Linked DNA regions of Danio rerio. The protein of the gene in region 1 purifies or fractionates together with the protein of each later gene. This does not show direct contact. Links are inferred from orthologs where the notes say so. Each region holds a gene or a part of one and is shown on either strand. Other genes may lie near its edges.

What was found.
Region 2: the proteins of fgfr1op2 (region 1) and slmapa purify together in Homo sapiens (affinity purification with mass spectrometry; 3 studies listed by BioGRID and IntAct, with this or other methods). This does not show direct contact. The link is inferred for Danio rerio from reciprocal best matches to the Homo sapiens genes FGFR1OP2 and SLMAP.

Annotation. Positions count from the first base shown.
Region 1 is NC_133179.1:2,052,386-2,055,480, reverse strand, and holds part of fgfr1op2 (FGFR1 oncogene partner 2 homolog), read right to left. Parts: intron 2,177-3,095; coding exon 2,059-2,176; intron 1,987-2,058; coding exon 1,844-1,986; intron 65-1,843; coding exon 1-64. UniProt on the Homo sapiens protein: May be involved in wound healing pathway.
Region 2 is NC_133186.1:44,734,949-44,739,277, forward strand, and holds the start of slmapa (sarcolemma associated protein a), read right to left. Parts: upstream 3,120-4,329; 5' UTR 1,929-3,119; coding exon 1,731-1,928; intron 1-1,730. UniProt on the Homo sapiens protein: Associates with the striatin-interacting phosphatase and kinase (STRIPAK) core complex, forming the extended (SIKE1:SLMAP)STRIPAK complex.

The DNA.
Region 1 (3,095 bases):
CTTCGATGGCTTTCCTCATCACCGTGGCCATTTCGTTGATTTTTTCGATGTGCGCTTGCATCTCCTGTGACGTAAACACCGTAACAGTTAACACCTACACAATATATTGTTTCAGCATTGATATTGCAACGAGTGAATCTGCAAAAGTAGGATCTGCAGTGTGCAGTTGGCATTATAAATGACGAGACGCCTACAGTTCAGATCATAGTGGAGTCATTTTAGATTTTAACCTATTATTATTTATTATTTGCATGTATATATTATTGTGTGCATATTCTTTGCAAGCCAATTTGTGCACAATAAATTCAATGTTTGTAGCTTAGATTAATTGTATATAATTATTCACAAAATGAGCGTTATTGTGTTGGCTTGAGAAAGCCAACATGCTGTTATGCTACTCTGTCCTTGAAAACAAACGTATCTCCTCCAAGGCCGTTCATGCCACAAGGCCCAAATGTGGTCTAAATGTGCCTTCTGCATTCAAGATTGTTGCTATATCTCCTCATGCCTGTTAGACTTATCATTTTTTTTAAATAAAAAATGTTAAATATTATATTTTTATAATCCGGGCATATAAAAAAATTATACAAGCCCCAAATTTGGCCAAAAGCTGTATTTAGATGCGTTAGATTTTGTTGCTATATCTTTAAGGTTTATCAGATTTATAGTTTTTCAATAAATAATTTTTAAGCATTATTTTTCTCAAAATATGGCAAGCCATTTTTGACTTAAACTCCATATTTGTTACTGATATGGCAAGCCATTTTTGCATGTATCACCTTCACAATTATTAAGTGTTGTATTTTCAAAAAAATACAGCAAGCCATTTTTACATAATGTTCATTCCCTTAGTCCCTTTATTAATCAGGGGTCGCCACAACGGAATGAACCGCCAACTTATCCAGCATTTGTTTTACACAGCGAATGCCCTTCCAGCCGCAACCCAACACCAGGAATACATAATGTTTAAGTCCAGTTTTTGACACTCATAAAGACTGTCATAGAAACATCGGGGTTGATTAAGATCACTCATATTGCCAAGAAGCTTTGATGTATCATCACTAACCTGTCAAATGTCCCCATAGCATTAAAACAGTATAACCTAGCAACCATTTAAAAATAGCAATATCTCTACATCAGAACATCGTAGAGACTTGGGCATTGGCTTGTTTGACTCATTCTAGCAAATGGGACTTCCTGTGTACTATGCATGGTAACAATGATAATGGAAGCCAAGTGCTTATAACGATTAGCTACATGCTATGAATGATTATCTAAATGCAATAACATATGCTAGAAATGCCTACTAAGTATTAGCATTTGATCAAACATGTACACGAGCATTGCCATTTAGCAACTGCTCAGCAACCACGTAACAATGCCATAAACGTTTGACTTTCTCAAGCCAACATCAAAGTTTATCAATGAACTTTAGGTTCTAGTTTTACATTACACTTTTCCAGCTGCATTTTCAAGCCATGCACAAGTGTGGCAAATTTGCAGGCTTTAATCACATTATATCAGCTGCTTTCTGTTATAGTATAGTGTGGTATTCTAAGAAATGGCATGTTTGCACCGAGCCTAATATCGAAAAACTGATTTACTCTTTGTAATATTAATTTTAATTCATTTAAAGTGAGTTATTATTACCCATTTATTATTATGCAAGTGGCACAATTACATTTGCAAGCACTTTACCTAAAATCTAAGCACTTTTTAAACCTTTGAAAACACTATAGATTAAAAAAACTGAAGTTTTTCAAGGATTTCCAGTATGATTCCTGAGACTATTTGTGTAGCAGCTTTTTAATAGTGAATTTCAGTGTGTGCGTGGGGGACTGACGTTCGTGTGCTGTTCTCTGAGCTGCGTGACGATGGTGGGATCCTCTTTTTTGCTGGCCATCAGAAGTCGAAACACTTGCTCTCTGTATTTGCTCATGATCAGCTCCAGCGCAGACTGATGCTCCTCCAGAGACGTGTGCAGCTCTGCACAGAGACTGGGCTTTAAAAACAGGCCTCAAATAGCATGCAGGAAAAAAAAAAACACCAAGCACACACCTTTGTTTTCTTGCTGCAGTTCCCGTATTTGCCGGTTTTCCTGTTGGATGCCCATGACTAGTGTTGAGCGTGGCCGATGCCTCGCAACCTGGTTTAACACCTCGATCTCTTCCTGATACTGAGATCACAACAAACGATTGAACAAAAAATAAACAAACAAGGATACACCGACAAATACACTATTCAATTTAGGGTAAGCTGTGACTGCCTGAGATTAAACATACAAAATGTAGCAGAGATTTAGGTTTATTACTGAGATATATTTAGTTTTATATTTGCATGTTTGTTTGTTTTTTGCAGCCCCTATATTGTTTTTAGCATGCTACTGTAATGGAGGCCAGCCAGTAGGTGCTGTGCAGGTTAACCTCACTCCTCTGAGCTCTAAAGGTGCTCTAGTGACAGACGCTAGAGGCCATGGTCTTTAGCCTCCTTGAAAGAGCAACTGACTGGGGAAGGTCGCCGGTTCAATACTAGCTTGGAGCGGGTTGGGTGATGTAATACTGGTGTGGTTACATTGGTGCCGTGACCCGGATGGGAGTGAGGTTTAGGGGGGGTGAGTGTAGTAACGGAGGCCAGCCAGTAGGAGCTGTGACGTCAGGCGTTGCCGAACTGTATTGTGGATCCGTCGGCGCCGTTTCAGAGGTGTTGCTCGCTGCAGAAGTTGGGACTAGCTCAACTTTTCAAGCACTGACAGAAGCGTCAGCCAATCAGATTGCTGTATGCAAATACACCAGCTAGACAGTGGCCTATTGCTGATTGAATTTCATTGGCTGACGCTGCTATGACAATCGCGTCAGCCCCAACTTCAGACACGCCTTCAGTCAAGCGTTGACGCTGAAGCCCTGTGTGAACGGGGCTTAAAGGTGCTCTAGCGGCAGACACTAGAGGCCATGGTCTTTACCCTCCTTGGTAGAGCAACCGACTCCCATGCAAAAGGTCACCGGGTCGATACCAGCTTAGAATGGGTTGGGTGGCGCAGGACCGGCGGGGTTACACTACTTATAATATTCGGTCTGAAATCGTATATTAGTACGAGT
Region 2 (4,329 bases), on another chromosome or scaffold:
CACCATTTACTTTATAAATTTCTTCTCTTAAACATAAAACAAGATTTTCTAAAGAATATTCAGCCATTGACATAAAAAACAGCTATTGACATCCATAGTATAAATGTAAAAATACTAAAGTCAGTTGCTTTCTCTGACATTCTTCAATAAACCTTTCTTTCTGTTCAAAAGAAGAAACAAACTCAGTTTTAGAGCAAGTGGACTTTCATGGCAGAATTTACATTTTTTATGTGAACTATCCCTTTAAAAGCTCATTGAAATAGTGTTTTTTTTTGCTCATTGAATCTTTGGATTAGTTTTAAGAAAAAGCTAATATATTTACTATATAACACAGGGGTGTCAATTTCAGTTCCTGGAGGGACGTTGACCTGCAGTCTAGTTCCAAACCTGCTTCAACACTCTTACCTGTGTGTTTCAAACAAGCCTAAAGAATTCAATTAGTTTCATCAGGTGTGTTTAATTAGGGTTGCACTAAACTGTGCAGAGCTGCGGCCCTCAAGGAACTGAGTTTGACACCTGTGATCTAATGCAGTGTTTCTCAACCACATTACTGGAGGACCACCAGCTCTGCACATGTTCCTAGACTGTCTCTTAATTCCTAGAACGCTGAGAACAGAGAACGCATCCTGTGAGAAATGAGATGCTGTGTTCTTCCCTGGGTCTTCCTGATGGTGACGTGACCTTCACATGTTTTTAATGGAATATGGTTTAAACATTACAGCATTCCTACAACAACGATTTATTGTTTTCCCCCATACATAATATATACCATGCATAAAAAAAACGTACAAATATATGCTTCACAATACAAATAAAACTAATTTTAACACGAATTTCAACAAGTAAACACCCTTTATGTGCTTATGCCATTATTATGATTTACATGGTAATGTTTAAATTCACCGTCTCATTTAGGGAAACTCCTGAAGTAAATAAGTTACATCTCTAAACTTTAATAATAAATCTAAATAAAATGCTGCGCTTCCCACCTCCTTCATACAGCCACAACGACTTCTAGGACTTCTCAAGCAAGTTTTGTGCTCAAGTCTGCATCGATGACTCTACGATATCAAGAACACATCTGGCAACTTTCACGCGTCCTCCGTTCTTGCCGTCTTGAGTTTTGGAACTGAACATAGGCAGTTAATGACGACATTACAGAAGAACACGAGGACGCAGGATCGCTGAAAAACGCCTATTGAGAAACACCCCATGTTTCCTTAACCAAACACACCTGATTTAGATCATCAGCAGAGACTGAAAGACCTGTAATGAATGTAACAGATAAAGGAGACATCCAAAATATGCAGTGTTGGTGGTCCTACAGGAACGTGGTTGAGAAACACTGATCTAATGCAGTGGTATATTTAGCCATAAATTCCATCTTAATCTACTTTTGGGTGGGGATATTATCTATATAATCCTAGTACAGACAATTGTGACAACATTGACAGATAGATACAAAGAAAATCTTAATAATTCAAGAAAGATGGAGGTGGATATGTCAAACACTGAAAAAAATATTCATTGGACTTACTAACTTTTTTGAGGCAAGTGGTTGCAAACAATTTATATAGACTGAATTTAAACAAACTAAATGTAGTAACGTTTATTTGTTTAAATTCAGCTCATGCTAATTTTTGCAACCACTTACCTTAAAAAAAATAAGTACATCTAATGAATAATGTTTATAGTTAACATCCAATCTATTGGTGAAACATCAGACTTACCTTGCCTGTCTTGTGGTCGAACCATACCAGAGCGTGATTCCTCGACAACACTTTGCAGTCGAAGGTGGCGTTGTTTTGGGCAGGGCGACACCGGGCCACGGAGCGCCCGATCTTGACCGGCTCATCCAGGTAAACATGGCGTTCCTGAAACGGGTGTGAATTCGGGCGGCAGGAGAACACGGCCAGCGCTGAAGGCATTGAGGATGGCTTGGGAGTGTTACTCCAACCAGAGACGAAAGACAGGGTTTCTTGATCCAGACTGACCTGTTGCTCCAATTCTTCCTAATGAATGACCAGCAGACCAACGCACATAGTAATACGAAAAAAATTCCAACTCTACAAAAAGACCCCTGCTAAACCGACTACATAACGTCAACAAGACTGTATATTTATACACTATGTAGATGACTTCTTGCCCCCTTGCGAGACCCCCATGTTGCCGAACCAAACCCAATACAGCTGCCCAATTCCATACAAATCTGGGTGTCCAGATGACAGTCCACAATTCGAGCTGTTATACTTCGTTCCCAACACAATTCATCCTCGTCCCCCTTTACAAGCATAGGCCTGGCCAGTAAACAACCCAGCAACTAGTACACCAATAACCTGTTGAATTGGTCAACCTTTACTCCTAAAAAAAAAAAAGAAGTATTACTGTCAAGTTGACATGCGTGTCTATATTTAGAGGGAATGACTGCTAGGCACGAAATGCACTTGTGAAAATGTTAAACCGTAATGAAGATTAATAATAATGTGAGTGGGTTTGGCTGAAGTATGCAGAGCAGACCATCAAGCCACCACTCCCCAAGACAGAGTAATTAATATTGAAAAATACCTCAAATGCCTACTTAAACAGACTTCAAATGCAAGTATTTAGCTGTCAGGATTGTATACAAGAGCACAGCTCGCGCGGAGGGTGTTTTCTTGCGCACGAGAGCGTTAGCTGGCTAACTTCATATTAGCTTGTTAGCTTCGCTGAGGTAACACTGGCCTTCTACTTTCACCTTATCGAGCCGTCCAAGCTGGAAGAGACTTTATAAATAACCCCGAGCTGATTTATCCCCGAAAACCAGCTATTTGTTCGGTCTGTGGAACTTTCATGCGCGGAGAATTTGCGTAAATCCAGTATTAGCTCGCGAGCTCGGTAACTAGCTTAGCCTGCTGAGAGACACAAAAATTTCCCCAGAAAAGAAAGTCATACACGAATAAAGTCCATGACACGGTCCCGTGTTAAGCCATGGAGGTCTCCGCTTTTCGGAACGCTGAAATCGGGAGGGAAATCGTTGTGTGCGACGGGATAATTGGAAGTAAGTCGTCCTCTTGAAGAGATATACACACACATACACACCGGCCACAAACCGCCGCGGGGCTCGCGCACCACCGAGATATGGGGCGGGGCTTTGCGGTGACGCGAAAATGTAGGCGGATCCGCGTTTCCAGAGAAAAAGGATGACGTTTTTCATGCGGATTGAAAATAATGTTTGTTTGTTCATTTTTCGGATGCTATTTTTTTCTTTTGTAATAGCATTTCATTTACAATCAACAAGCAAGACAACAACAGGTAAAACAATTTGTTGAACAGACAAAAAAAGTATGGAGCCAGTCAGATCAGTCTCAAAAATAATACATGTACATAATAAAACTCCTCCATGCACAGCACAATTCACATTTACAACATCCAGTTTGTAAATTCAAAACACAACTTGTAAATACAACCAACAATTTGTAAATTCACAAGCAAAAATCATAAATACTTTCACCAAATTAATTAGATTTGTGTATTTTTGTATAGTGTTTTCAATTTACGAATTGGATTTGTGTATTTATGAATCACATTTTAAATTTACAAATTGAATTTGAGTAATTATAAATTGCATGTAAACTTATGAATTGGATTGAGTATTTTTGAATCGCGATTTGTATTTACGAATCTGATTTGTGTAAATGAATCGCATTTTCAGTTTATGAATTGGATTTGTGTATTTATGAATCGTGTTTTGAATTTACGAATTGGATTTGTGTATTTATGAATCATATTTTAAATTGACTAATTAGATTTGTGTATTTATGAACCACGTTTTGAATTTACCAATTGTATTTGTGTATTTATGAATCACGTTTTGAGTTGACGAATTGGATTTATGTATTTATGAATCACGTTTTGAATTTACGAATTGAATTTGTGTATGTATGAATCGCGTTTTGAATTGACGAATTGGATTTGTGTATTTATGAATCGCGTTTTGAACTCACAAATTAAATTTGTGTATTTATGAATCGCGTTTTGAACTTACGAATTAAATTTGTGTATTTATGAATCACATTTTAAATTTACCAATTGGATTTTTGTATTTATGAATCACGTTTTAAATTTACGAATTGTATTTGTGTATTTATGAATCGCATTTTGAGTTGACGGAATGTATTTGTGTATTTATGAATTACGTTTAGAATTTACGAATTGAATTTGTGTATTTATAAATCGTGTTTTGAATTGACAAGTTAGATTTGTGTATTTATGAGTCGCGTTTTGAATTGACGAATTGGATTTGTGTATTTATAAATCGCGATTTTAATTTATGGATTGGATTTGTGTATT